Linked DNA regions of Macaca fascicularis. The protein of the gene in region 2 purifies or fractionates together with the protein of the main gene of each other region. This does not show direct contact. Links are inferred from orthologs where the notes say so. Each region holds a gene or a part of one and is shown on either strand. Other genes may lie near its edges.

The links.
Region 1: the proteins of VTI1B (region 2) and STX6 purify together in Homo sapiens (affinity purification with mass spectrometry; 3 studies listed by BioGRID and IntAct, counting the BioPlex papers as one, with this or other methods). This does not show direct contact. The link is inferred for Macaca fascicularis from reciprocal best matches to the Homo sapiens genes VTI1B and STX6.
Region 3: the proteins of VTI1B (region 2) and VAMP4 purify together in Homo sapiens (affinity purification with mass spectrometry; 4 studies listed by BioGRID and IntAct, counting the BioPlex papers as one, with this or other methods). This does not show direct contact. The link is inferred for Macaca fascicularis from reciprocal best matches to the Homo sapiens genes VTI1B and VAMP4.
Region 4: the proteins of VTI1B (region 2) and NAPA purify together in Homo sapiens (affinity purification with mass spectrometry; 3 studies listed by BioGRID and IntAct, counting the BioPlex papers as one, with this or other methods). This does not show direct contact. The link is inferred for Macaca fascicularis from reciprocal best matches to the Homo sapiens genes VTI1B and NAPA.

What each region holds. Positions count from the first base shown.
Region 1 is NC_088375.1:38,490,451-38,498,024, forward strand, and holds part of STX6 (syntaxin-6), read right to left. Parts: intron 5,243-7,574; coding exon 5,073-5,242; intron 2,475-5,072; coding exon 2,380-2,474; intron 1-2,379. UniProt on the Homo sapiens protein: SNARE promoting movement of transport vesicles to target membranes. Targets endosomes to the trans-Golgi network, and may therefore function in retrograde trafficking.
Region 2 is NC_088381.1:135,574,812-135,583,121, forward strand, and holds the start of VTI1B (vesicle transport through interaction with t-SNAREs homolog 1B), read right to left. Parts: upstream 4,880-8,310; 5' UTR 4,726-4,879; coding exon 4,611-4,725; intron 1-4,610. UniProt on the Homo sapiens protein: V-SNARE that mediates vesicle transport pathways through interactions with t-SNAREs on the target membrane. These interactions are proposed to mediate aspects of the specificity of vesicle trafficking and to promote fusion of the lipid bilayers.
Region 3 is NC_088375.1:29,323,606-29,331,179, forward strand, and holds part of VAMP4 (vesicle-associated membrane protein 4), read right to left. Parts: intron 4,096-7,574; coding exon 3,995-4,095; intron 3,087-3,994; exon of another isoform or gene 3,031-3,086; coding exon 2,951-3,030; intron 1-2,950. UniProt on the Homo sapiens protein: Involved in the pathway that functions to remove an inhibitor (probably synaptotagmin-4) of calcium-triggered exocytosis during the maturation of secretory granules.
Region 4 is NC_088393.1:55,517,704-55,525,277, forward strand, and holds part of NAPA (alpha-soluble NSF attachment protein), read right to left. Parts: intron 6,752-7,574; coding exon 6,672-6,751; intron 4,010-6,671; coding exon 3,893-4,009; intron 1-3,892. UniProt on the Homo sapiens protein: Required for vesicular transport between the endoplasmic reticulum and the Golgi apparatus. Together with GNA12 promotes CDH5 localization to plasma membrane.

The DNA.
Region 1 (7,574 bases), on a different chromosome or scaffold from region 2:
CTCTGTTCTCACACTGCTATGAAGAACTGCCCAAGACTGGGTAATTTACAAGGGAAAGAGGTTTAATTGACTCACAATTCAGCATGGCTGGGGAAGCCTCAGGAAACTTACAATCATGGCAGCAGGTGAAGCAAGGCAACTTCTTCACAAGGCAGCAGGCAAGAGTGACAGAGCAAAGTGGGAAGAGCCCCTTATGAAACCACCAGACCTCATGAGACTCACTCACTATCATGAGAACAGCATGGGAGAAACTGCCCCCTCGATTCAATTACCTCCACCTGGTCTCTCCTTTGACCCATGGGGATTACGGGGATCACAATTCAAGATGAGATTCTGGGTGAGGAAACAGCTAAATCATATCAACCTCTTTCTAAGAATGTACTTTAAAAAGCTTTTCAAATACTAGAAAATGAACTTTGGATTCTTCTTTCCCTTATACCAACGAACTTAATTTTCAATATATGAACCTCTAAATTTCAATCTGAAAACTTCCTAAGTCTACCTTGCAGAAAGAATAAATACAATGATTAAGGTTAAGGACATATGCTTCACTGCAAGGCCCCACTTAAATATTAACGTCTATAGGAGTGTCCTTCAAAAAACCTACTACAAAAAAAAAAAAAAAGAAAAACTTATACAAAATAATTGGGGATTTACTTATCTTACAAAAAATATGTCACCTAACAACAAGGCTTCCTCATCCGAACAGTATTTTGAACTGGCTAGAGATTAAGAATGTCTAATCCAAACACTCACTGTGGATGGGGTATCTGAGGTTCAGAAAGGTTTCTCCCTCATTAAAATGTGGGTTTCTTTATAAACAATTTACATCTATGTATATAGAAAGGCAACTAATGAATAAAACAAGTAACAAGAATATATAAAGTTCAGTGATAATCTACCATTTGAAATAATTTCCAAAGGAAATCACATGATATTAAAGACTTTGGCAAACACATACTAAGGTTCCTGCCTAAGATGACTCTTAAAAAGCCATATGTTAGCACTGGTATGATCCCAAGTCTTTTTATTCAAGGAAGCTGCTTTCTAGTACATATGTTAAAGACAGCTGGTTCTCTTACATCTAGTTATGCTAATCAAATGGCTTAGCCATATAGTTTCAAAATATGAAACATTTTAATGACACAAGATTGTACTTAAATAATATTTTTTCTTAGATTATTTAATAATGGGTATTATTCTAAATAACTTAGAACTAAAGATTTGTTCACTTGGATCAATTTTTTACACTCTGATAGATGCTTGCTTGCTCTGGATAACTCTGGAATGGCTGTCAAGCAGTTACATATGGAAATGTCAGTAACATAGGTTGCAAGAGTTCCAGAAGCAATTCAGATGGCGGAAGAGGCTGCTATCCAAACCCAGTAAGAGTCACTCTTCAACAATGCAAAGTGATTACCAATCAATCAAAAAACCAAATGGTTTCTACAATAGTAATTGTTTTGTTCATCAAGAAATAGAGTACACTAAGAAATAAAAAGTGAGAAAGATAACCAGCTTGAAGAAACTAGAGATATGGACAAGGGTCTAATCATTCAGGATGACACCATTTGAATGTACCCTGCCCAAAGCCAGCAGATTACTGTCTTATTTTTACTCTCGGAAATAAGCCTGACAGGCCGGGCATGGTGGCTCACGCAGGTCATCCCAGCACTTTCCGAGGCCGAGGCAGGCGAACTGCTTGAGTTCAGGAGTTCAAGACCAACCTGAGCAACATGGTGAACCCTGTCTCTACAAAAAATTAGCGTGGTGTGGTAGTGCACGCCTGTAGTCCCAGCTACTTGGGAGGCTGAGGCAGGAGAAACACTTGAGCCGGAAGGCAGAGGCTGCAGTCAGCTAAGATCGTGCCACTGCACTTCAGCCTGGTCAACACAGTGAGACGTCGTATCAAAAAAAGAAAGGCTAAAAACAGATTTCTTTTTCTTCAATCACAGAATTTTGTTTTTTTGAGGGTGCAGTGACATGATCATAGCTTTCATGATCCTCCCACCTCGGCCTCCCATCTTGGTCTTCCATGTAGTTGAGACTACAGGTGTCTACCACCATGTCCAGCTAATTTTTCTATTTTTTTTTTTTTTTTTTTTTTTGTAGAGACGGGGTTTCATCATGTTGCCCAGACTGGTTTCAAATTCCTGGGCTCAAGTGATCCACCCACCTCTGCCTCCCAAAGTGCTGGGATTACAGGCATGAGCCACTATGCCCAGCCAATCAGAGAAATTATATGTGGGGAAGCTCACATTTGATTCATATTTAAAAAGTGGTTTCAGAGGTGACCTATTAGTTTACAATTAAGGGAAAGAGCTCTAAGAAGTCTGGCTATTTCTTATACAGATAACACAATAAGATCATATTCCTTACCCTGACAACTTGCCGAGTACTTGTAATGAAGGCTTTTCTTATACTCAATTCAGTTGCATCGAGGTTAAATTTTCTAGGATTTGCTTCAACTATGCGTAGGTCAAAAAGTCAAGGTAAAACAATTTCATCATCGAAGCCTGACAACATCCTGTTAACTCACTGAATCTCTCACATGCAAACAAATAAAATCTGGCTCACGCTTTCTGAAAACATAGTCAGCTGGACACCAATCATTCTCCGACTTCCTCTGCCTGCAGCCACTGGAGGGAGGATCCCTTTGCCCCAAGACAGAGATGACCTGTCGGATTAAGAAACACAGCCCCCGCTGATGAGCTTCACTACAAACACTTAGGGCTATCTGACCACAGCTGAGCTGGGTTCTTCCTGTTTGCCAACCCTTGTGTCTATCCTTTTTTGACTCCTGATCATCTTTACTAAGCCAGCTTTTGCATGTCTTTTTCTCCTGCCATTCCAAACCACTTCCAATTATGCCAAGATGCTAACCCTACTTCTTAATCTAGGGAGATCAGGCCTTCTTCAGAGAAGCTGCCCTCATTCCCTTACCCTCTGGCCTGGTCCGCCGCACCATGTCAGACACTCGCACAGCTCTCTACACTTCTCTTTCATAGTCTGCAAGTATCTATTTGTGTTATTATTTGATTGCCATCTGTTCCGCATCCCTATCCACTCAAAGTTATGTGAGGGCTGGTATAGTGTTTATTAATCTAATCTCCATAACCAGCAAAATGCCTGGCACATAGTATACTCAATAAACATTTGCTGGTTGAATGATGAGTATCTATTAAAACTTTTGTATTTTCAATCTCACATTTTCTCTATCTCCTCTAACTTTTTTTCCTTCCCTCCTGTCTCAACGGAAGAATTATCTCCCTGTAACTGTGCTTTTGATCCTGCCCCCTCACATATTTGCCACTAATCTTAGAGAACATACTTGCCTTTTAATAATTTAAAAGGTACCCGCGGTCATCATGAATAACAAAAATTTACTCCATGTATCAACTGCATACGAATCTGTGCTAACTATAGGGTGATCCTGACAGAAGCTGGTTTTCTTGATGCTTTATCTCACTTAGAGAAAAAACAAAACAGAACTCAGAGCATGCAAGTGGCATATCTTCCATCTAAAGTTTTGGTTAAGTGGGATTTCCAGTTGAAAAGAAAAGGCCATATAATGAAGTTTTTACAGTTCTCCAGTGCATGAGTCAGATCAGTGGACTCACTTCACATCAACACCATGAATTAGCAGAACAGATCTGCTTTTACTAAATGCAGTTTCATGGAACAAGATGCCTCTTTGATGGACGGCGCCCATTGAACATCACTTCTTAAACATGACAGTCTACAAAAAGATTTTTTGATCTCTAATTACCAAAGTGTAACACTGGCCTATATGTACCTCTATATGATGATGACTGCTGCACTATTACATAAGCTGTTTGCCAGGCACCGTTCTAAACTCTTTACCTGTATAATCCCAATAATCCTATGAGCTAGGTACTCTTGTTATCCTAACTTTCCACTAAAGAGGAAACTGAAGCACAGGGGGTTAAGTGATGGGCCCAAGTAACATGGTAACTGGTTGTGATACTATAACATAATAAATACAAATTTGGTCTCTGCACCTCATTCCTGGCAAACAGCTCCTAGATCCCTTAGAATCTCCAGAGTGATGAGTATCTTTTGTATGTTAATGGCATAACTGATGGTGGGGGGGTTTCTAGATAGCCTCAGGATGAGGGGCTGGTCCCCAGAGAAACCAAGCATGTGATTAGACAGTTGAAGCTTTCAGCCCCCTGCTCAACCCCACCCCAGGGGAAAGGGACTGACGGCTGAGTTGATCACCAATGGCCAACTGATGCGATCAATCATGCCTACGAAATGAATCCTCCCCAAACACCCAAAAGGACAGAGTTCAGGAAGCTTCCAGATAGGTGAACATGTGGAGGTTCCTGGAGGCACCTGAAGAGGGCCTGGAAGTGCTGCACCTCTTCTCCTACACCTTGCAAGCATCTCTTCCATCTGGTTATTCATCTGTACCCTTTGTAATATCCTTTACAATAAACGGATAAACCTAAGGAAACTGTTTCCCAGAGTTCTGTGAACTGCTCTTGCAAATTAAATTAATTTGATCTATGGAGGGAGTTGTGGGAACTCCTATTTATACCTGGTCAGTCGGGAGCACTGGTCACAACCTGGGGCTTGCAACTGGCATCGAAGTGGGAGCAGTCTTGTGGGACTGAGCTCCTAACCTGTGGACCTGATGCTATTTCCACGTAGACAGTATCAGAAATATCATACCGACTTGTGAGGGTAGAGACATTAAAAAAAAAAGAGAAACAGGGTTTTTTTTTTCCCCCTTTACATTGGTGGAGCCAGGACTTGAACACCGGGAATCTGATTCTGGGGTCCAGAGTCATAATCATTACACCATGCTGCCTTTAAATATATATATATTTATAGTACAGGATTTGTCACACACTGTACAAGAATGTGGCTACTCTACCTTAACTTACTGGGCAAATACTTTAAACATATCATGGTACAAGGAAGAGCAACAAACATCAATCAATTATAAAAGAAAATGTTTCAACTACATAGTGGAAACAACTGGAGAAAAACTTGTCTATTTGTCTGTTTACCCAAAATGGCACAGACAGCACAGAAAAGGATATTGATGGTTTCATCAAGGTCCTCTAGATCCCACTCTATGCTCCGGAGGTTGTTTCTCAGCTCGTTGGTGGTCCAGTCGATTTCTTCCCTTGTTGCTGTGGAGGGGTCCTGGAGGAGCTCTGTCCATCTCTGAAACAATCCCTGGGCAGTGTTGACAGCTTTCTGTACCTCTCTGTAATCAAGATGAGGCAAAGGAGAGAAATTACAGGCAACATTCCATGGACAAGTTACTGAAGGATTTAGGCTAACATTTATGATCATACACCATCCTCAGCAACCACCATTCCCACAGAAGGCTCTTCACAGACAAATATCAAAGTTCAAAACTTTGATACACAGTCTGAGTATTATGTTCTCAGCTGATGCTTGGAATACAATATCCATTATTTAAGCAGCTACAATATCAAGTTTGTTGGGGAAGGACAAATTTAATATTTTTCTCTGAACAGACTATACATAACAGTATAATGAAGCAATCCTACAAATCAACTAAAGGGCAATGGGCATTCCCACATGCTTTCACTTGGTGTGATAGTATTAATAATTTATACTCAGATGAAAAAGTTCTAATATAGCCTTTCTTTTCTTGGTATGGGAGGAATGAGAATGCTGGAGGGAAGGTTACTCTTATATAGCTCCCGTTTTATTATAGGTTAACAATTTTAATCCGAGAAATTTTTAAACTCAAAATCTTATTTCCAAACATTATTAGCTTTAAATATACCTACTTTCCTTAATTAAGCAATACCATATACCAGATTAGCGTTTGTTTTTGTTTTGTTTTTGAGATAGAGTCTTACTCTTTTGCCCAGGCTGGAGTGAAGTGGTGCGATCTCGGCTCACTGCAACCTCCATCTCCCAGGTTCAAGCGACTCTTCTGCCTTAGCCTCCCAAGTAGCTGGGATTACAGGCGCCTGCCACCACGCCTGGCTAATTTTTGTATTTTTAGTAGAGACGGGGTTTCACCATCTTGGCCAGGCTGGTCTCGAACTCCTGACCTCAGGTGATCCACCTGCCTCGGCCTCCCAAAGTACTAGGATTACAGGCATGAACCACCGCGCCCAGCCAGATTAGTGTTTTTCTTGTTCAGAAAATGAGACGAGGCCATTAAGTGCTATGATCTAGCGTGTTTTTAGATTAGATATAGTCACAAGATTTTAAGAACTGTTACCCCCACCATTGGGCCAATATCCACCATTTAAATATTATAATCTAATACTACCACATATAAAAGCCAAAAAGGAGTCATTTTATAACCATATGGTCTCTCATGTTTAAAGATGATAATCCCACTACTCCCAAACTATAAGAACTGTTTTGATTCTTCTATGATTTCTTCTGGAACAAAGACCACAAAAAAGTGTTCTAGATGATTATGGTGTTTGTTGTCTATGGCTTTAAGACAGAATTCACACACATCCTATACCCTCTGACGTTTCAAGTACTGGAAAAAAGAAAGCACTAACAAAAATGAAGAAAAGCACCTTACAATATTTAGGTCTATGGCATACTGACGAGAGCTAAGAGGCTGAATGTTAAACAGAGAATACAGCTACTAGGCGCAGGCTGAGTAAATAAGCAAGCCAAATGGACAACAAATCTACCAAGGTCTATTCACATCTAGTTTACAGCTTAGGCAAGTCACCTCACTGTTCCTTTCATGTCAGCCTTTAGACTTTCAGTGCTAACGAGAAACCCTATTTAAGATAAAACGGGGAAGAATTAAGTGAGGTGCAAATCTATTTTCTTTACTCTTTATGGGATCTGGGTGATTCAGTGGAGAAAGAGCTATGTATCATTCCTTAATGCAAAGTAAGTCATCCTTTGGTATCCTGGGGGGATTGGTTCCAGGACCCCCACGGGATACCAAATCTGCAGATTCTGAAGTCCTTATATAAAGTGGCATAGTATTTGCATATAACCTACACACATCCTCCTACATACTTTAAATCATCTCTAGATTATTTATAATACCTAATGTAATTTAAATGCTATGTAAATTGCTGTTATACTGTATTGTTTAGGGAGTAAGAAAAAAAAAGTCTGTACATGTTCAGCAAAGATGCAACCATTCTTCTTTTTACTGAATATATTCAATCCTGAGTTGGCTGAATCCACAGATTTAGAACCCACAGAGATGGAGGGCTGATTGTATTGGTTTATTTGTAAGTACTGAGTATCATCTGCGATAATGTAAGACAGAGTTAAAGAGGTATCTGTAAAGACATCTTTTAAAGAATATAAAATTTATCAATTCTGTAAAGTAAATATGAATTCCTTTTTGAGAACTAGAAGCCTCAAACCAAGAAGCCTTGGGCTAGGGCTTAGGTTTGTTCTCCACCACCAGTACACAATTATGATGCTGGAATTAAATTCTAAGTAGCAATCTACGAACTTCTTTGGTCTCAGGAGACTCCTTTGAACTCTTCAAAATTATTGAAGACCCCAAAGAGCTTAGAGTTATGTGTACTATATATCTAACGCTATTTACTATATCAGGAATT
Region 2 (8,310 bases):
CGTTCACCCAGTTGACCAAGTGAAAAAATGCAGACACCCTGGAATCTTTCTTCCTAATTTCTGCCTCAAAACCACCTCTTGGGCTGGGCACTGTAGCTCACACCTGTAACCCCAGCACTTTAAGACGCTGAGGTGGGTGGATCTTAATTAAGCCCAGGAACTCGACAACAGCCTGGACAACATGGGAGACCCTTACTAAAATTACAAAAAATTAGCCAGGCCTAGGGGCATGCGCCTGCGGCCCCAGCTACCCAGGAGGCTGAGGTGGGAGGATCACTTGAGCTTGGGAAGCCAAGGCTGCAGTGAGCAGTGATGGTGCCACTGCACTCCAGCCTGGATGACAGGAGACAGGAGTGAGACCCTGTGTCAAACAAATTCCTGTGTTACCAAGGCAACTGCCCAAAAGGCTCTTAACACAGTCCCCTATACCCAGATTCTTGAGATCTCTCTCATCCTCTGTCTAGCCATTAATGCCCTCCTTCTAAAAGAAAATCCACATCAATCAACTGCTTTAAGTCCTTTACTGACTTTCCATATCAAGTCCAAACGTCTCAATGTCACACTAAGATCCCCTCACAATCTGGCTGTTTCACCTGCCCCATCTACTACTACTTTCCCATATACATTCTAAGCTCCAGAGTTAGGGGTATTCCATTTTTTAACTCCTGTGTTGCCTCTTTGCATTTCCCCTGTTTAGCAAACTCCCATTTAACCCGTTATATTCAGTTTGAAGTTTTTTGAAGCTTCCCCTCTCTTCCCCATGCTCAAGTCCAGCCTTTTTTATGGTCTCTGAGAACTTTATTTTAGAATTAATCACACACTTTGTTGTAAGTTTGTTTACTTTTTTTTTTTGAGATGGAGTCTCGCTCTGTTGGCTGTAATCTCCACCTCCTGGGTTCAGTTAATTCTCCTGCCTCAGCCTCCTGAGTAGCTGGGACTACAGGCGCATGTCACCACACCTAGCTAATTTTTGTATTTTGAGTAGAGACAAGGTTCCACCATGTTTACCAGGATGGTCTCTATCTCTTGACCTTGTGATGCGCCCGCCTAGGCCTCCCAAAGTGATGGGATTACAGGCATGAGCCACTGTGCCCGGCCGTTTGTTTCTTTTTAAGGTAAGTACTCTGGAAGTCTTCAGGACCCAGACAGTGGCTGATACATAATAATTCTCAGTGTTTATTGAAAAATAACTTAATTCAATTACACAGCATAAGCTACATGCAAGGGCTGTATTATGTACATTATGCTGTGCCTAATAATTCATGATGGGCATTAAAGTGCTGAAAACTTTATGATGTGGTCTCTGAACTAGAAAAAGACGGATTCAGAGATGAGGCACCATGTGTTTGCTTAGATAAATTCAATTTATTCAACAAATATTTATTGAGCAGTGTGAACGAGGCAGTGAATAAGAGGTAAAGTTGCTGGACTTCTTATTACAATTCTAGGGATATGTATATACTTTATTTACAACTATGTCTGTTGCCAGCAACTTAGAATATTTTGTGGTTGGGTAGAAATTCACCTATTTCTGCTGAGCACAGTGGCTCACGCCTGTAATCTCAGCACTTTGGGAGGCTGAAGCGGGTGGATCACTTGAGGTCAGGCGTTTGAGACCAGCCTGGCCAACATGGTGAAACCCCATGCCTACTAAAAATACAAAAATTAGCTGGGTGTGGCAGCATGCGCCTGTAATCCCAGCTACTTGGGAGGCTGAGGCATGACAATCGCTTGAACCCAGGAGGTGGAGGTTGCAGTGAGCTGAGATTGTATCACCGCCTGGGTGACAGAGCAAGACTCTGTCTCAAAAAAAAAAAAAAAAAATCACATATTTCCGACTGTCCTCTTTGCAGGATGGAGAAAAAGGCTGGGGAGACAACAAACGTGAATGTAACTATCTTAGCTTTATGTTGCTATAACAGAATAGCTGAGTCTGGGTAATTTATAAAGAAAAGAAATGTATTTCTCAGAGTTCCGGAGGCTGGGAAGCCCAAGGCTGAGGGGCCTGATTCTTTCAAGGGCCTTCTTGCTACCCATGTGTCACCCTATGGCAGAAGGTGGAAGAGCAACAGATCAAGAGAGCAGGCAAGCAGGAGAGGGCTGAACTAACCCACTCTCTCAGCAACCAACCCACTCTCAGGATAACAATCCAATCCCTGAGGATGGAGCCCTCATCGTCTAATCATTTCTTATGGGTCCCACCTCTTAACACGATTAAAATGGCAAATAAATTTCAACATAAGTTTTAGAGGGGACATTCAAACCATAGTAATAATGAATTCAATTTTCTATTTTTCAAGCAATGTTCTTTTGCATTATTTAGCCTTATAGAAATGGGCAATGCAAAAATTAACTCAGTGCCAGGTTGAAAATGCAGTCTACTTTTTTTTTTTTTTTAGACAGAGTCTTGCTCTGTCATCCAGGTTAGAGTGCAGTGGTGCGATCTTGGCTCACTGCAACCTCCAGCTCCAGGGCGCAAGTGATCCTCCCACTTCAGCCTCCCCAGGAGCTGGGACTACAGGAACGCACCACAATGCCTGGCTAATTTTTGTATTTTTTGTAGAGATGGCGTTTCACCACGTTGCCCAGGCTGGTCTCAAAATCATTCAATACAGCAATAATCCTAACTCAGCTTCCCCAAGTGCTGGGATTACAGGTGTGAGCCACCACGCCTAGCCTGCAGTCTTTTCCTTTTTTTTTTTTTTCTGAGACAGAGTCTTGCTCTGTTGCCCAGACTAGAGTGCAGCGGCAGGATCTCGGCTCACTGCAACCTCTGCCTCCTGGGTTCAAGCAATTCTCCTGCCTCAGCTTCCTGAGTAGCTGGGACTACAGGCAACTGACACCATGCCTGGCTAATTTTTGTATTTTTAGTAGAGATAGGGTTTCACTATGTTGGCCAGGCTGGTCTTGAACTCCTGACCTCAAGTGATCTGCCCGCCTCTGCTTCCCCAAGCACTGGAATTACAGGTGTGAGTCACCGTGCCCTGCCTGCAGTCAACTTTTCAATCACATAAATCAGATCCCACAATGGTTCTGCACAATATATTTTAACTGCATCCCATCATATTTAGAAAAAGGCACAAGTCTTTCACCATGGTCCACAAGGCCCTACATGATCTGGCCCTGCCTACCTCTCTCCTTTGCTCACTTCATCCCAAACACATGGAACTTCCTGCTCTTCGTTGAACACACCAAGCTCATTTCCGCTTAAGGGCATTTGCAGTGCTATTCCCTCCTTCTGACACTCACTTCTCCCAGATTTCTGGTTTACTCCCTCTCTTCATTCAAGTCTCAGTTCAAATGCCATCTCCTCACAGAGGACTTTCACAACCGCCCTATTTAAAACTGAAGTCCCGAGGAAAGCGGATCGCTTGAGGTCAGGAGTTAGAGACCAACCTGGCCAACATGGTGAAACCCCGTCTCTACTAAAAATACAAAAAAAATTAGCCAGGGGTGGTGGCGCAACTGTAATCCCAGTTACTCCAGAGGCTGAGGCAGGAGAATTGCTTCAATCTGGGAAGTGGAGGCTGCAGTGAGCCGAGATCGTACCACTGCACTCCAGACTGGATGACAGAGTAAGACTCTGTCTCAAAAATAATAATAATAATAATAAAATAAAACTGAAGTCCCATCCCCTATTCCTTTACTCTTATTTTCCTGTATTCTTTAACACTGCCGCTTAATAGTTATATATTGTTTATCACCTACCCACTAGAATGGGGACGTGCATGTCTTTTTCACTGTAATTTGCAATATTCACCAGCACCTAGAACAGTGCCTGGCACACAGCAGCCTCACAATAAATATATATTAAATACATGCATTTCATTCTCACCAGAGTCATTCAATTCCTATGACCTTGAGTAATTCGTTGAGCAAACACTCAAGCTCTGATCCTTAAATAAAAGCAATAAAACAAAGTTTTGTCCTTGCCATCAAGTTCTACATATCCGGAGGCCAAGAACTATATATAGCAGGTCTTCCTATGGATCTAGGGCCGGAAAACTCTAGCTCCTCCAGACAAAACTTGTAGCAACCTGAACCATGAAATGAAGGGGTAGTAAATAGTCGCAGCAGTAAAAACGTTCAAAACAAGACCACATCTAAACGCCACCATAAGGTTTTAAAGGCCAGCTCTCTACCCTCCAATAACAGGTATATACCAACGCCCCAAATTATGACTCTTTTGGGTTTTTAACCCTTTTTCTGTGCTACAGATCCTCTGTCAGTCTGGTGAAAACTAGACCTGTCTTGAGACTAGTGCTTCTAAATGCATAAAACAAACAAAAACAGCTACGAAAGAAACCCACGCTACATTACAGGACCGCAGATGTAAAAGCCCCTCTGCTCTGTTTGCCGCAGTGGAAAAAAACGAGAAAATGTGGAAGGCCATAGAAGGAACCCAGGGAACTGAACCCCGCGTCCCTGGGCGCGTCCCCAATTCACTCTCAGTGGCAGGGAGACCCGGGGTTGCGACCCAGCCAGCCCTAGGGGGCGTGTCTGAGGACGCGGAGGAAGGAGACGCGGGCCCGGGTCTGGGAGGAAGGTGGGGGAAAATTCCAAAGCGCGCGGGGCCGCGCTCCCCACGGCGTGGCCCACCCGCGCCTCACCGGTCCCAGCAGTCCCCAGCAGCCGCTCGGGCACCCCTTGTAGGTCTTCATGGAGGCCGCGGAAGATCTCGTGCAGCTTCTCGAAATGCTCCGAGGAGGCGGCGGAGGCGGCCATGGCGCAGGACGCGCTCGAGCAGCGGCCACCCAGATTCGGGGCTCTGGGCCCTCTCCTAGCCCGGCGGTCAGCCGCCCAGTCCCGTGGCCATAACGGCGACCGCCGCACCACCGCTGCCCAGGACGAGGCTCTTCCGGGGCCGCAGAAGGGTCCTCCCGAGCCGGAACGCCCACCCTCTCTAGCCCGTGATTGCGGGAGCGCCGGCGCGAAGGCCTGACGGGAAGGCAGCAGACTGCGCGGCCTAGGCGACTCCTGAGGGAGCGAGCGGGGCGAATGGTAGTCGCAGAGCCCGAGAAGTGCCCGGTCCGGGGTGGGGAAAGGCCGCAGAGAAAGGGCCCTAGGGGACCTGCGGGACGGGCAGCTCGGCCGCCTTCCTCCTGGGCCCCGCCGGCCGGCCAGGGGCGGGCGCTGCAGTGCACGCCGGGGGATGTAGTTTGACTCGGAGAGCGTCTGGTGCCGGAGTCGCGCGTTGCCCGGGGTGCCAGGTTTAGCCCGCGAGGCGACAGCGGGCTTCGGCCCGATTTGATGTGTGTTTGCGTCTAGACGTCGTCCTCACTGTCATCGCGCTTTGCTTTGCCACCCTGACCCGAATTCCGCATTTCGCGTTTTGACCGAATGTTAGCTTTAGGCCCTGGAAAGAGCCGGGCCGGGGGCTCTGCCTGCAGTCGGGAGGTGGAGCACTTTTCCTGGAAGGCCCAGCGGCTCCCCAAGCTTTCAGAAGTGGAACTCGGCCGGGCGAGTGGCTCACGTCTGTAATCCCAGTACTTTGGGAGGCCGAGGTGGGAGGATTGCTTGAACCCAGTAGTTCGAGACCAGCCTGGTCACAATAGCGAGAGCACTACCGGAAACCCAAAATAGGAGCCGGGCAAGGTGGCGCGCACTTTTGGCCCCAGCTACCCCGGAGGCTGAAGCAGGAGGATTACTTGAGTCCACAAGGTTGAGATTGCAGAGTTCCCACCACTGCACTCCAGCTTGGGAGACTTTGCTCCCAAGTGGAGGGTGACCTTGTCTCCAAACGAACCCAAAAAACAAAAATTCAAAAGTGGAACCCAGTTAGGATGACCTCGAAATACTCTAGCTGCTAGGCTGCCTCGTGCACTTGTTCACAACAGGTGTTTGTCAAGCGTAGGCATTGCGAGGGATCTGGGCATGTTGGTGAATAAAACATTTACTCTCTGCTCCGGGGGAATTTATAATCTGGTGTGGAAGGTGGGCCTGGCTTCATTAGGTCTCATCTGCCACTAAGTGTCACTTGTTAACAATTACAAGGTCCTTTCCTGCACTCCATGGGTATAAATGCCGGTCTTCAGGTTGGGCATGGTGGCTCAAGCATTATCCCAGCACTTTGGGAGGCCGACGCGGGCGGATTACTTTAAGTCAGGAGTTCGAGACCAGCCTAGCCAACACGGTGAAACCCCCATCTCTGCTAAAATCACAAAAATTAGCCGAGCGTGGTGGTGGGCGCCTGTAAATCCCAGCTACTCGGGAGGCTAAGGCAGGAGAATCACCTGAACCCGGGAGGTAGTGGTTGCAGTGAGCTGAGATCATGCCACTGCACTCCAGCCTGGGTGACAAAGCAAGATCCTATCTCAAAAAAATTAAAATAAATTCTTATTTTCACCGATTTCACGGTTTGCTCAAGGTGTCTGTTCTCAAATGTTTGCTTGGGAGCTCAATTTTAAACTGCCTACAAATATTAAAAGATGTATGAATGCTCAGGAGAAAATGCTTTGCTAATTTATATCTCCTGGGCCCTCATTTTTATTAGATCAAGTTCATTGGCTGTTGATTCAGCACGCTTTGGTTGAGCTCTTAATATGCACTGAGCACAGACGTGACCAAGTCTGAGGTAACTGTCAGTATACTGTGTAAGTCCCACAACACAATGCTGGGACTTGTCACAGTACAGAAATAAGGGGCAGGTGCAAAAAAAAGATTAATAGCCTGGGGCCGGGCGCCATGGCTCACACCTGTACCCCAGCACTTTGGGAGGCCGAGGTGGGACGACTGTTTGAGCTCAGAGTTTGAGGCCAGCCTGGGCAACAAAGCAAGACCCTGTCTCTAATAAAAAAGAAAAGAAAAAAGAAAAAAGAATGGCCCGGGATGATCAAGAAATGTGGGAAAAGTATCTGTGAAGAGTGTCAAAAAATGTTAAGTAGGAAATGGTGAATGAATAATCAGATTATCACACAACCTAAATTAATAGCATGTGGATTGAGATTGCACTGTAGCTAGACTCTGGGACAAATTATTCTTTAGAATGAGAAATCATTGCATAACCATAATAATGAACAGTGTTTTCTTCTTTTGACTGTAATTAAACTTTTAATTCTTAGTTTTTATTCTGGTAAATGAAAACAAAAAATAATCAAAACATTTTTATTTGTCATTGACAGTTCAATATAAATTAAGTAAAACATTAATTAATTTATTCTGCACTATTAGAATTTTTCTAATGTTTCCATAAAATGACCATTTCTAAACATATAGCTTAATGGTCAAAACAAGTTCAATAAAATATTAATTTACAAATATCAGAAGTGAAGACTGTGGTCCTATAATTCTTTCCCCCACCAAAGTTAAAATATAATTGTCATTCCAGGAAATCAAAATCTTTTAGAATAGCACACTCTAAACAAGTGATGGGAACACTACTAATTCCTCAGACTTCCTCTGGCATTACTTTTGATAAAGAGTCTCCAGCCAGGCACAGTGGCTCAAGCCTGTAATCCCAGCACTTTGGGAGGCCGAGATGGGCGGGTCACGAGGTCAGGAGATCGAGACCATCCTGGCTAACCCCGTGAAACCCCGTCTCTACTAAAAAATACAAAAAACTAGTCGGGCGAGGTGGCGGGCGCCTGTAGTCCCAGCTACTCGGGAGGCTGAGGCAGGAGAATGGCCTAAACCCGGGAGGCGGAGCTTGCAGTGAGCTGAGATCCGGCCACTGCACTCCAGCCTGGGCGACAGAGCGAGACTCTGTCTCAAAAAAAAAAAAAAAAAAGTCTCCAAATAAAATACAGAATTTTGGCACATAGACATTTTAGTCTTGTCAAGACAATGTAAGGAAATGCCCCAAAAGATTATTAAATTGACCATAATTACCAATATCAGTCCCTAAGATAATTTTTCTGAATAAAAGAATTGGGTTTTTTCTTTTCGTTTTTAGGATTTTTTTTTTTTTTTTTTTGCTACACTGGTTTTTCTTAAGACCTCATCAGTCTTGGATGCTCGCCCTCAATTCTTCCATAGCTATGTTAGTATATTTAATGTCTTCTGCTATTTTCTTAATCCTTAACTAGTCCCTTCATTTCATGCATTATCTTCCAGTATTCTCCTTCTTTATTTTTACTTCTTCCCTGCTACCCATGTGCTCTTGGTGGGTAGTTACATATACAGAATCTGCTTCCCTTTGCAGTGTTTCATTTGCATAAAGACTGGATGGCATTGGTTTGCTCCATCTCTGATTATTGTGGCTGTTTTGAACTTTGTGAAAATACTCCCTTAGTATACATAAACAAGAAGACACACAAAGATACACACAATGACGATGACCAAAAAGCCTTTCTTCTCATTTTCTAAGAGAAA
Region 3 (7,574 bases), on a different chromosome or scaffold from region 2:
AGAATCAGAATGGATTGGAGATAGGAGCTGTATTTTTAGTAGGTGTCTGGGTCCACATTATACGATAAACTAAAGTACTTTAATCCGTTTTTATTAATCTGAAACATTTCTAAAATAATTTGGAATTTCTACAGTAGTTTTTCAACCTTACCTAAAATGTACATTAATTTGCTGTTAAATGTGTGTTCGGCTTTACTTAAGATTTGAATGAGAACATCAATATCAATTTAAAAACACCTCAATGAATAGTTTTCTTCCTTGGGTTTCTAACACTGGGCAGAAAATGTTTACAATTGCAAATGGCAGTATTGTATTCATGCAAGTCCAAAGCTCATGAACAAAAATCTGTGTGGCATTAAACATATAAGAGCTTCACGACCCCCCAGATACATTAAAAGGTGTTAGCGATTCTCTTTCCCCACCCATGAATAATTTTATTAATTCATTTATTTTTAAAGCCAGGTATATTGAGATACACTTTACACAGAATAAAACTTATCCTCTAAAAGTGCTTTTGATAGGTTTTGACAAATATATCCAGCTGTTAATAGGCATGAGCACCATCAAATATAGGACATTTCCACCACCACCCTCAACAAGTTTCCTCATGACCTGTTGTCAGTCTCCAACCGCACCACATTCCCCTTAGCCACTGGAAACTCCTGATCTGTATTCTGCCCTTATATCCTTTTTCTTAAAACCCTTCAGAAATTACTCATTATGGAAGTCAATCTAGAAAATGGCAGGCACAGGGAGGCTGCCCCAGATGAATAGTAGCACAATGAAGTATTAATGGGGTACAGTAAAATTGAAGGAAGCATTAGAAAATAATAAATGAAGAATACTTGCTACTGTAAATGGTCTTTGTTATGTTATGGAACAATGGTTTTCATTACATGGTCAATGCTATTCATGGTCTCCAGAGGTCCTCAAGGTGATGACTATTTAAAAATATAACTCAATGTTTTTTCCTCCTCAAAAGCACACTATTCCTCTGACCCAAACCCCATAAAGTACAAAGCAAACATTTTTAGAAATGGTTAAAAAAAAAAGTTAGGCAAAATGTTCATTATGACCATCTTTTTTGTGGATACATGAATGGGGTACATGAGTTTGGGGGGAGAGAAGGGGTGAATGGTTCATAGACCTTTTGTTTTTCCAAATTAGCCCATAGAATAGAAAATTTCTATAGATATAGAAACTTTAGGCCAGGTGTGGTGGCTCATGCCTGTAATCCAGCACTTTGGGAGGCTGAGGTGGGCAGATTGTAAATTTCTATAGATATAGAAACTTTAGGCCAGGTGTGGTGGCTCATGCCTGTAATCCAGCACTTTGGGAGGCTGAGGTGGGCAGATTGTTTGAGGCCAGAAGTTCAAGACCAGCCTGGCCAACACAGTGAAACCCCGTCTCTACTAAAAATACAAAAATTAGCCAGGTGTGGTGGCACATGTCTGTAATCCCAGCTACTCGGGAGGCCAAGGCAGGAGAATTGCTTGAACCTGGGCTACTTGTGAGGCTGAGGCATGAGAATCACTTGAACCTGGGAGGCAGAAGTTGCAGTGAGCCGAGATTGCGCCACTGCATTCCAGCTTGGGAGACACATCAAGACTGCCTCAAAAAAAAAAAAAAAAAAAAAGAAAAAGAAAAAGAAAAAGACTTTAAAGAAAATAAATTCATTCTTTAAAGAATAAAGTAATTTTGAATAGAAAATTTAAATTCTGAACAAGGGGAGAAATGAAACAGTTTGTTTCTTTCCTCAGTTCCACTTCTGAAAGTAGGACAATTCAATAGGTAGACAGATAAAAATAAATAAATCCAAGGTAACTCTTGGAAAAAATCCTTAGCATATGGCTAAGTCAGGTTTAGAAAGTTACTGCTGGCTGGCACAGTAGCTCATGCCTGTAATTTCAGCACTTTGGGAGGTCGAGGCAGGCGGATCACCTGAGGTCGGGAGTTCGAGACCAGCTTGATCAACATGGAGAAACCCCGTCTCTACTAAAAAAACAAAAAACAACAACAACAAAAAAACCCAAAATTAGCCAGATGTGGTGGTGCAGGCCTGTTAATCCAAGCTACTCGGGAGGCTGAGGCAGGAGAATCGCTTGAACCCTGGAGGTGGAGATTACACTCCAGCCTGGGCAACAAGAGCAAAACTCTATCTCAAAAAAAAAAAAATAAAGAAAGAAAGAAAAGAAAGTTATTGCTAAACTTGAAAATGAGAGACTAAAAACAGTTCTTGTCTAAATTTTTAACAAAGCCAAAAATTATACCTAGAATCAGAAAAAAAGATTTGCTTATATAACATGAAAAACATTTTCTGTTAATGATTAGTAGCCACAGTTGATTTAAGAAGTAAATGTATTTCTATACAATGTTTTGGAGGAGTATATTAGTATGTAGACATTCTCAATGTTTTCCTTGTTAAAAATGTTAAAAATTTCCTTTACTTTTTATTTTTCTGGAATAATGAGGGAAGTGGAGTTTTTTCTTAACTCCATTTGCCTTAACAGATTCGGATATGTAAGCTGCTGTTATTATTTCCCCTTTCAACTAAAAGTCGTATTTTTCTCTAGCTCTCACTTTATTTTTTTGATATCTCTATATAATGCTAGAGGTTGCTCAAAAAAGTACTAACAGTAAATTTCAAGAAAAAAATGTATATTTGTTACAAGTTAATAAGTCTAGAGGTAGCCAAATATTAATAAAATGTGGATTACTCTCATGAAAAAAAATCTATGAAAACATCCTTTTAGGCATACTGATTTATTTAGTTATCCCTATCCCAAAAGCAATTAAGTTAACAAGTATTTACTGAATTTCTACCATGTCTCAGGACAGTTATAGGCCCTGTTCTCACAGATGTTATGCTCTAGAGGCCCTTTTTCCTTCATGTGTTTGAATACCACTTCAGATGCTGACCAATCTATCCAGGAGCTTCTGATTTACTTACTTTGCATCCGCGCCACCACATTTGCCTTCGAAGTTGTTTGGATCTGTTGCTAAAAGCTGTTGCATTATCCGATAAGCTTTCTATATCACATAGAGGATGGAGAGAAGGATTAAACGACATAACAGGATTCTTTTATCTAGTCACACAAAGATAAGAAAATATTAATTTCTACTTCTGCAAATTTATTCCCTTTTAAGCATGAAAACAACATTCTCCCTTTTTTCCACCCACAAACTCTGGCATTCTACATTATAAAAAAAACAAAAACAAAAACAAAAAGTAAAAAACAGTTTGCAGATCAGTTTGCTCAATCCTTTTTTATTATAAAATTAAGAAAAGTCTTTTTAGGGCCTTAATGCTTATAAATAAGCTTAGGAATTCTAATAAGAAAATACTCTTTAAAAATTCAAACACTTGGCACACCTCTAGAAAAAAAATTACATGTAGAGAAGTTAGCTTTTTAGAAGATATCAAAAGTGACTGATTTTAAAGGAAAACAATATACATTTTAAAAGTGACTAAGCGAGGTTGTCTTTTTTTTAAGTCTGTCAAAGATTAATCAGGTATTCAGCCATTCACCATTCAAACAATATTTGAGTGCCAAGTACATGCCAGGTATGGGTATATAGGTTATAGGTGTAATGACTGAAAGTAAAGAAAGGTGACTAAGTTACCAAATGAAACATAAAATAAAAATAGCAGATAAGTTTGAAACAAGTGTTGAAAAGTGAGTAGGTCTTTCGGCCCTGAGATCGTGAGAAACACAAAGTTCATCAACATCAAAGTGCGAAAGAAAAAACAGCTCTACTCTTCACTCTTCAACAATGAAATTTTAAATTCTTCATTCTCCAATGAACAATTAAAAAATAATGTAACAATAAGATGACTCAAAGTAAAGGAGTTAAAATTAAACCATTAAAATCATACACTTAAGAACCAAATACCAGTTTCCTAAGCCAAGATTTGTAAATGCTGGCTAGATAAGTAGAAGAAAAAAACTAGCAAACAGATTAGTAATATCAAGGAATACATGAAGATCTGTACCTGATTTGTCCTGTAGTTCATCTAGTCTCTCCCCTCTCTCAATTACCTTTGTAATATTTTCTTGCATGACATCAATAACTTCATCCACTTGATTCTGAACACTAGTTTAAAAAAGTTAAACAATTATTTATCCTTCTTTTGAGAATATTTACAATTTCTGAAATTTCATTAGACATAATAAAGAACAGCAAATTCTCGGAGAATTATTCAACTATTAAATTTAAATTTAGGACTTTATAGCAATGTTCTTCCATTTGTGGGCTTCAGTATTCAGATAATGAAAGACAATTTGATATAAATTAAAGTAATATTTAAAGATAGCTTACTTTTAGCCCTGCTTCTGACTTGCAACCCATAAGCAAGTTAAATGTACTGTCAGCATGCTCATTAAGTGCAGAGTTTAAACCGCTTCACTAAAAATAATCAGGTTTTCTTTTCAACAGGCTATTGAGGCTGCACCCTACTTTTGCTATATATTTCATACACGAAGGCTAACAAAGGAGGTATGTTAACATACTTTTTAACATACCTTTTGCTCAGGTACGGTAAAGGCTTATGAAACATTCCTAGTTTCCAGAATGGAAATGTAGGGCATATTCTAAGAGATACTGATGCTCAATGGGTAGAATTCTTCACTGCTCATCAGATTTTTCTTAAACAGGGTATAAGATAACTGGGGACACCTGGGAATATTTTGAAGAACCCACCAGGAAGCAAAAAGGAAAAAATTGTTTTCTGTTTTTCGATTGTTTGTTCATCCTTTATATTAGATGATGGGGGTCTGTTTTAACCAAATTTCAGGCTGTTCAGTAAAGACTTAACCTAAACTTAAAATTGTAATAACTGTCTTCAGCTATCCACTCTCATTCAGGAGTTAACTCCAGAGTACACAAACATGGACATGTTTAATCATTTTAAGTGTCTTATTCTCCTCTGTGGCTCTAACCACAAGACAAAAAGTTATCTTAAATTACTTTATGAAATAAGTCACAACAATGAAATATTTAAAAGGAGAAATAAAGCAAATCCATGGTCCTCACAACTAAACACTGTTTAAAGTGCACTGGATTACTTACTGCAGACATGTGCTGCATAACATTTTGGTCAATGATAAAGCACATTTACAACAGTGGTCCTATAAGTTATAATACCATATGTTTACTGCATGTTTTCTACGTTTAGATAAGTTTAGACACACAGATACTTACCATTGTGTTATAATTACCTGCAGTATTGAGTGCAGTCACACGCTGTATGGCTTTGTAGCCTAGGAGCTACAGGCCATACCATATAACCTAGGTGTGTAGTAGACTACACTCTGTAGGTTTGTGTAAGTACTCTATGATGTTCACACAATGAAACTGCCTAATGATGCATGTCTCCAAACGTAGCCTGTCATTAAGGGTCCATGACGGTTATAAACATTAAATGTATAAATATTTAAATAAATGAAGATATGCAATTGCGTTTCTAGTTGGAAAAGGAAGAAGTGAGTAGGGGGCTTTAACAATTTTTTACAATACACAGATATGGTCTCCGCCCTCTACCCCACACAAGTCCCCAAACTAATGTAGTAAGTGAGGAGTGAGGCACGGTCATGTTTAATTTTGAAAGAGTTCTATCCTTTCCGATCACTGAGCTAGTTCTTTAAAAAATTTGCTATAAAAACAAAATGAAGGCCCATTTAGACATAGGTGGATTCAGAAGTACTCTCAGATTCAAGTAGCAATTACTAAGCTTGATGACAGTAACCTCCATCCCAGGTTAAAAGCATTATGTACACCCACTGATTACCCACACATAAACTTCAAGATTTTTCACAGCATCCCAGAGTTCTGTGCTTCCCACATATTATTCCACTGGAGGATATAAGACTGAAGCTCAACCAAGTTGGGCATGCAGAGTTCTCTTCTGTCCAAACAGATCTGAAAGAACCCCTAAGTCTCTAAGACATCTTGTTGCAACTCCCAGTCCCCTAAGTAGAGAGTTGAAGGTGTTCATCTTATTTAAGAACAATGGCACAAATACACAACTAATTAATTTCTTCAACAAATAACGAGAACCTACTACGTACTGTTTTAGGTACTGAGGAAGTAACATTGAACAAAATAGACAAGTAATCCCAGCCCTTACGGAACATATGTTCGAACGTACATTGAATGCACTGTATTAACCTTATAGCTGTGAAACAGCATGCTCTACCCCATTACTCTATCTTATTTATAGCATGTAAGCAAATATAAAGTGATAGTAATTGTACCTATTTACTTATTTACATGCTTATTTTCTGCCTCTCCCCACCAGAAGGTAAGCTCAATGAATGCAGTGACCTTGCCTATTTTGTTCACTTTTGTAAGTCCAGTACCTATAGTCGTGCATGGGGCACAGTGGCCATTCAACAAATATTTGCTGAATAAATGAACAATTTGAGTATAAATCCTATAAAGCATATCCAGCTACTTGAGGGGGAGATATAAAGCAGTGAGTGTAGAGACCTCCATTTAACTACAAACAAAAGTAAAGCTACTGTTCATCAAGGATCAATTTTGAAATTCCCAGCTAGTTTTTTTTGTCATATGCAAATGATGATAATTAATGGCTTAAAGTAGGGTGCTATGGCAGGACAGGAATGGACAAAATGTACTAAGGCTCCTACACACGATCAGATTATAGCTATTATGGATATTAATATACATATACTATATATACTTTTAGACGAGATTGGGTACGTTCAGGGTGGTATGGCCGTAGACATTATATATACTTTTAAAATGAAAACAAAAAGCTAATAAAATAGTTATGGTCCCAGAATCTCTCTAAGGCCAGGCCTGGTGATTCATGCCTGTAATCTCAACACTTCTGCAAGGCGGATGGATCCACTGAGCCTGGGAGTTTGAGACCAGACTAGGCAACACAGTGAGGCCCCGTCTTTACAAAAAGATTTAAAAATAAGCTGGTTATGGTGGCATGTGCCTGTGGTCCCAGCCACTTGGGAGGCTGGGGTGGGAGATTTCCTTGAGTCCAGGAGGTTGAGGTGCAGTGAACTGTGACTGCACCACTGCATTTCAGCCTGAGCAACAGAGTGAGACCTGTCTCAAAGGAAACAAACAAACAAACAAACAAAAAAACCCCCAACAAAACCCTTTAAGGATAACATTCCATGGATATAGGCAGATTAATTGGGACAGACCCATAAAATTCCAGATTCTTACTAGAGTATCATAAACCTACAAGTATTCCAACAACATGGCACACATGTAATAAATCACTATTGATAATGGAAACCCCAAATAATATTTTAATTTTTCTGCTACATGATTCGTGAGTTATTGCTGCTTTGTCCTTCACACATTACTATCTGCTGGTGTAACACTCTGAATCCAGCTACTGTGTAACCTTCACTCAATGATGAAAAATCTCATGACTGTTTTCTGTGTGTCAGGATATTTCCCCACCCAGAACACAATTTTTGTAGAATAAAGAAAATGATCTACTTATTTACTTTAATATGGAGATAGTTTGGTTTACAAAGCAAGTGATAACATACTTCCCCACGATCTTTTACATTTTCACAATAGTT
Region 4 (7,574 bases), on a different chromosome or scaffold from region 2:
CTGGATGGGACTTCAAAACCCCTCCATGGGGAGGCATCTGAACAGAGGCTCTTAGTCTCAGGCCTGTGGCCAGGCTTTCAGGGATTCCAACCCCTCCTTCTGACATGTGAACACTGGGATCCATAAGCACTCCTCTGGGGACTGGGGTCTGTAGGTTTTGTCCAATTCGGAAAGACCTCTGGGGATCCGAAAGGGACTGACAGAAGGTACAGCACTCAGTCCAGGTTCCGGAGCTGACAGACAGAGACTGTGGCAGCAGAAAGAGAGAAAGGTGGCAAAAAGGGGGCAAAGGAGGAGGATGGGGAGAGAACACAACCTAAACCCGGCAGTTTGAAGACACACACATCTTGTAATCGGTGGGCCCAGAAGCAATGGCTGAGCCAGGCCATGCTGCAGAGGAGGGGAGCAGCAGCTGGAGTGAAGTGAGCGGTCCACCTTGCCCCGCCCCACCTGGCTGCAGCCTCCACCTGGTGGCCCCGGGCTGCTCACTGGTTCACTCTTCTGGCCAGGACACCAACCTGGCACCCTGCAGGCTGAGGCAGCAAAGGCTGCTGCTCTGCAGTGAGCAGTGAGATCTATAGCTGCCACCTGGGCCTGCTGGCACTGGCTTTGGAGCGCCCGCTGTTAGCATGGCACAGCCCTTGCAGTAGCAGCAGGGAGACAGCTTACCCCCCGTGCAGCAACATGGACTCACGGGGTTAAGTCTCCTCCATGCCTGGAAAGCAGCGGACCACCAGCAGACACCTGGGCCAGCTGGCTCCTGGACGAGCTTCTGACACACTCATGACTGCTACTCTTATCTCTGGTCACCAGGCCTTGTGCACTCGGACAGGTGGAGCAACACCCAGCTCTGTGGCCCGGCCCCTCCTGCACCCACCCACAGAGGGCTGGAAAGGGGCTCGGAGCAATAAAGCCCAAGTTGGGGAGCTATGGCCCTGGCCACTGCCCATCCCCGCAGTCATTCCTACTAGCGATGCCCAGCTTGACTTCTGCCTCTCTGAGCCCTTCCTGGTTACACTTGGCCATCTCCTCCTTAGTAAAATGGGGGCAAATCACAGAATGCACAAAGAAATCAAATGGGTTAAAAGATGCCAAGCATCTGGTATACAGTAGGAACCCGGTAAATGGCAGCTAGAGAGGAAATAGGGGACAAGCAGGGGCTGGGCCGCGTCCCTGCCCCAGGTATACACACTACCCCCAGCCCCAGCTATCAGTCAGGCCCAGGAATAGGCCTCGCTGGCCCCAGTCTGCCCTGAGCAGCAGCGGTGGTTGGGTAACCGAGGAACCAATAACACAAATGAGCATCACCCTTCCCCACCCAGAGCCACCAAGGTGGCAGCAGGCCACCCTCTGTAGAGGGAGAGGAATTCAGGAGCCCAGCCGGGCCTTAGGCACACTCCAGCTGCCACTTGGGGGCAGGTCCTTCTGGAGAGAGTCCTGGAGGAAGTGCTGACCCAAGACAGAGGACTTCTAGGCTGCCGAGGAGACCAGTGACGACGAGGGCCCCAGGGAGCCGGCCACCTGCTCCAGGAAGCCAGGCAAGGTTCCAAATTGGGCGTCCAGAGCTGTTTCACAAGGCACCTGGCCAAGGGCAGAGGCTGTGGGGAGCCCAGGGCAGGCAGGGGCCCCCGGACTGATGAAAGCCAAGGGTGTCCTGACTGGAAGTTTATCACACACCAGGTGCTGCGCTGGGCATGACTCCATCATCTCACAGCAGTCTCTGCTTTAACAGATGAGGAAACAGAGGCCCAAGAGACTGACTTGCCCAGGATCACAGGGGAGGCAGGGTCCTCCCAGACCATCCACCACCTGCACTGCTGAGCCACACACAGCTGCTACATGACATTCTCTGTGAGGTGGTTTTTTTTTTTTTTGAGACAGGATCTCATTATGTTGTCCAGACTGGTCTTGAACTCCTGGGCTCAAGTGATCCTCCTGCCTCAGCCTCCCAAAGCACTGAAACTACAGGCATGAGCCACTGCACCTGGCCTTCTGTAAGGCCTGACTAGCCTCAGACACACAGCAGCCGCTGCCCTTGATGCCAGTGTGCCCCTTGCCCCACTGGGAGCCATGGCTGGGGTGCGCATCTTTAGGCTGTAGCTCTGGACACTGCGCTAACACCCCTCCCTGCTCAGCACCACCTCCCCAGGGCTCTGGACATGGCACCTGCTCTCAGCTCTACTCAAGTGAGGCTCGCCTCTCAGAACTGCCCCCTTTCTTCCCCGAAAGATCTCCCCTAGCCAAATTCTCCCCCTCCTAGCCTCAGCTCTGCGCAAGTCGGCCTCTGTGCCCTGGATGTGGCATCATCTTTATACTTTCCTACCAGTCAGAGTCCTCAGCCACCTTCTGAGCTTCCTAAGGCAAGGGAAGGGCCACATCCAGACTCCAGGCCCACACCCTGCAGAGTCTAGCTGGAGAGCTAGAAAAGCTCAGATCAAACACAGGGGACGGACCCCACCATATCCCACTGCCAGGTAGGGCCTGTCTGCAGGAAGTGAAGAGTCTGCTGAAAGAGCAAATGGCACTCACTGTTCTGCAGCCTGGCGCTCAGTGCTGCCCCAGAGAGTCCTTCTAGTCACTCCAGAAGAGGCAGCAGCTGAACATCACAGATGCTAAGACAGCGCCTCTAGGCCAACCAGTTTCCCAGGGAGCAGAAGGAAAGGCTTGGCGGGGCAGCTTAATGGAAGGCATGGAGATTTCCTGGGGTAAGTCAAGCTTAAAACCAACTCAGGGTCTCCCTGGGTCATCACTGCATCACCCACGCAGCCCGCTGTGGCCCCGTGCTACCAGCCAGGCAAGCTCCACGGCCCACCCAGTTACAAGGCTGCTCCTCCGCCTCTTGCCAGGCCTGAGCCCCACCATGTGACCACTGAGGCCAATGTGTGAGATGCTCGGCTGGTGAGGAGCAACTGGTTAGTCTAAGGACAGAGAAGTGCTACTGGTCAACACACAAATTCATCCTCGTCTGGGAACTAATATCTCAGATCATGACAAAGGGGTATGCCAGCGGTTCCCAAATACGGTGTGTGAACCAGTGCTCGCTGATCCATGGAGGAAGCGCCCTGCACTGCTGCAAATCTGTCTTCTCTTGGGAAGAACAGACCCTTATTCCAAGATCATTTAGCTGCTTTTTACTTTTTAAAGATTTATATATTTTCCATTCCCCTGAGATGACAGTGACAGTAGATGGTCATTTTTAAAAACTGCCTGTGCTTTCTAATTAGCAACCTGTACCTAGCACCAAGATTTTAAAAAATAAATTAAAATTCCCGCCCCATACAAACACTGGGCTGGGCTTCCTCTTCAGGAGGCACCCAGGGGGACAAAAACTGTTTTCTCACCATGAGTCAGCCCCAAACTGGGCTTCTGTCCCTAACACGCTCTCAGTTTAAGTAATTTGTTCTCTGGCAACTATATCTCGGGCTCTGTTCTCTCTAATTCCTCCCCAGGATGTAGGGAAGCCAGGTTGGGCTAATTTCCGCTCCTTTTTCGGCAGCAACTCCTACCTGGCTGGTCTCAGAAATCCCCCCCACCCTGCTCCCTTCTGCATGTTAATTCTGACAACAGAACAGATTTTCCTCTCTCCCCGGCAGGCGGTGGGTCTGCAATGGAACTCCCACTCCCAAATGCTCCGGGCTTGGGAAGGGGTGATCAGCTGCACCGACAGGGTAGACAGGGGGCGGAGACTTGAGCAGGGCGCGAATGCCAACCACAAGGAAGGGAGCCAGTTCTGAAGTCAAAGCTCACTCTACCTCAGGCGCGTCCCTGCCAGCCTATCACGTCGGCCATTGGAAAAACCAGAGCCTCCAGGAAACCCGAGGACTCGATGCAGGGTGCTAGGACGGCGCTTTGGGCCAGGCAGGCAGCCCCTGTGGCCAACAGAGATCCTCACCTTGGGGGTCAGCTTTCTTGAATGCGTTGCCGGCGTCCACAAAGCAGGTGGCTGCGTCGTGCTTGCTCTGGAGCTGCAGGTGCAGCTGCGCAGCCTGGCAGAACGCGTTTCCAGCAGCTGGAACAGAAGAGAAGGGTGGTCCCGGCCTCAGTGGGGCTCCACACTTTATGAAGCCACAGAGGCACTGCCCTGGGAGGTGGATCGGGCTCTTGAAAATGTGGAAAGAGTTCCCAAGATAGGACGAGGGTGACCTGAGCGAGCCCAGACTGAGGCCTAGACCTCAGGTCTGCTGGCTCCTGCACTGAGGCTCCTGGTGGTGTGCCTGACAGTCTCTAAGGGCGGCAGGAAGCTGCCTCAGGGGAAGCCCCTGAGCCCCAGGTATATGGAAAGAGAGCCAGGGTAAGCCCAGGTAAAATGCCATGTCCCTAATCCCAGCTATGCTGGTATTTCCAGGGCCACCACTTCTAAAGATCCAAGGAGAAGGCAGACAGAGCTGAGTTGGAAAGGATATAAAACAGAGTGAGTGGCCTCCTGCACCTCCCAGCCTGGGCAGTCCTCCCTAGGGGAGCCTCAAAGCACAGGGCCCAGAACCACCACTAGAAGGCAAAGTGCAGGTTGAATCACGGGGTGGCTTGGGAGGGGTATTTTGGGAAGCAAGGAGCAACTGAGATTAAACCACATAACACCTTCCCATCTACTCCCCTTTCCAAGTCCTGTTTCTTTCTCCACAGCTCCCCAAAGCTCTTCCTGATTCACCCAACTCCTCTGCCTCCGTTCACATTGTTCCCTTCACTGCAGATCCCCAAGGACAAGGCACCTGTGTGAATTGTGAGGCTCATGGAGTTGGGGTCGGACAACACAGAGCCGGCTCCCTCCAGGAACTGCACGTCCAGAGAGGGAAACAGGATGTGGACACCAAGAATGAGTACATGCAGACCAATGCCAATGGGGGAGGGCAGAAGAGACGGCGCCTGAAGCCTCGTCTGTCCTGTGCTCATCTGCACACAGTCAGCTTCTGTGGGTCCCAAGCCATTCTGCCCACACATCTCCTAACTGACGTTTGGGAGGCAGCAGTGTCTCTCCTCCTCCTCGTGGAGCTGACCACCTCCAGCTCAGTTCTGAGGCTTCTCCCCTTCATTCTCCTCCAGCTGAATCTGAGTCAGAGTTTCTGAGCTGGAAGAGGACCAGGAGGCCTAGCCCCATCCTCTTAAGTTTGAGCAGCAGAAGAGACAAAGCCTTCCAGATTTTCACTATATGATTTCATTATTATTTTCAAGAGTTCCAAATTTGAGTATAAAATTACGGCCAGGCATGGTGTCTCATGCCTGTAATCCCAGCACTTTGGGAGGCCAAGGTGGGCGAATCACGAGATCAGGAGATGGAGACCATCCTGGCCAACATGGTGAAACCCTGTCCCTACTAAAGATACGAAAATTAGCTGGGCATAGTGGCACATGCCTGTAATCCCAGCTAGTCGGGAGGCTGAGGCAGGAGAATCGCTTGAACCAGGGAGGCAGAGGTTACAATGAGCCGAGATCGCGCCACTGCACTCCAGCCTGGCGACAGAGCAAGACTGTCTCCAAAAAAAAAAAAAAAAAAAAAAAAAAATTCAAGAAAACGGGATAATACCAGGGGGAAAATGGCCTAGGGCTTTTCTTTGAAGAGTTGGGGGGCAGAGGTAACAAATTTTAGGAGAAAAGCAACACCTATGTAATTAAAAAAATAAACTTTTTTTCTCTAGAGGAATTTTCTTAGTTTGGGAGCATAAAAATACACAGAACATTTGGCTTTATTCACAACGTATTTTATGAAAACTCAGGAGTAACTCTTTGAATTTTTGGGAAACCAACAACATTCTCAAAATGATGATAATCAATTTTATTGTGCACTTCTGCGCCCTGCCTCCATGGTCCTACCACTAGGTCCCCTCTCCTCCACAGTCAGGAAGTGTCTCCCTGTGTTCAAACACTGGTCTCTTGCTGTATTTCCTTAATTCGATCTTGGTGACGTGAAAGATGTATTATGAAATGGGCTTCAAAAGGGCTCAATGCACTGGCTTGTTGGATTTCTTGGGCCTGCAGGGAGCCCCAAACAGATCTCCAGCCTCCCTGGGCCCAAGGGGCTCCTCCCCACCCCTCTCCTCCATGAAGCTCTCCTGCCTCACTGGGGCAGGTTAAACACTCAGGCTCTGCAGTAACAGCCTTGGTTTCTGAATCTTGGTTCTGTCATTTACTAGTTCTGGCACCCCGGGCAAAAGACTAAGCCAAGCCTCAGTTTCCAAATCTGTAAAACAGGGATATTTACAGACTGACCCTTAGGGCTGCTGTGCTAATGCCATTAAATGATGAGCACTTAGTACTCAACAAACAGTAGCCATGATTCATGTTGTTATTGGAATCACCTGAACATCCCCCCACCCCGCCACCACCCCAGCCTAGAATTCAGACACTGATGGAAGCACTAAGGAAGTTACCAGGAAACCCGAAGTTCTGAATTTAAGGAGGACTCTAAGAGCTCATCAATCCACATGGGTTTATCCAGGTCTAATAATCTATTTATTCCCATCCTCTCTGTCCTTTCTCCAAGGCCCCATGACCCAGAGTATAAAGTAACCCAGCAGGCACAAAACAATTAGAGAGCAGGCCAGTGGCTTTCCGATGACGGAGATGGCATAAAAAGAGAAGGGGCCCTCAAGGCCAACCTCTGGGGCAGGCCTGTGTGAGTGGAAGCTGAGGGAGGAGGAGAGCACCTCGGAGGAGCTCTAGCGGAGATGACATACCACTCCAGTTTTTGGCCATTTTGAACATGTTTGCTGCTCTGGCGTAGATTTCACATGCTTCCTCTATTTTGGATGAGCCTCTGGGGAAAAAGGAAAGAAAAAAAGGAGACAATCTAGTCTGCTATCCAGGAGAAAGCAAGCATTCTGCTCCAGTGCCGGTACAGACGTGCCCCTACCCCTCACCCTTCACCTGTGAAGCCAGCTTCCCGCAGGCCTCCTGAGGCTGTGGCCCCCGCCCCTGCATACAATGGCACACTCAATTCAGGAGGACTGGGGTAGATACTGGGTGCTCGCTGGGGTTGTGGGGCGAAGAGTTCCTGACCCCACCACGACCCCAGGGTCTGACAGCCTCTTCTACTTCCTGCCTGGGATACCGGGGGCCCACTGGGTCCCAGGCGCGCTACAAATCCCCTTTCCCCAGGAGACTGCAAAGCATTCTGGGGGATTAGCCCAGTTTAAGACATCGTGTTGCTTTCGCAGAGGGAGCCTTAATTCTGTGCCTTGCAACCCTGGAGTGTGTCATTACCAGTTCAGGACTGGGCATATATATCACACAGCCATACAAATAGACAGGAAGCACTATTTTAAAATGTAGATATAAAATGTTCCCGTTTGTGTTTAAAAAAAAGAGGGTGGGCTGAGTGCGGTGGCTCATGGCTCCTGTAATCCCAACACTTTGGGAGGCCAAGGTGGGCAGATTGCTTGAGCTCACGAGTTCGAGACCAGCCTGGGCAACACGGCAAAACCCCATCTCTACAGAAAATACAAAAATTAGCAGGGTGTGATGGCGCACGCCTGTAGTCCCAGCTACTAGAGAGGCTGATGTGGGAGGATTGCTTGAGCCCAGGGGGCGGAGGTTGCAGTGAGCCAAGATCAAGATCACACCACTGCACTCCAGCCTGG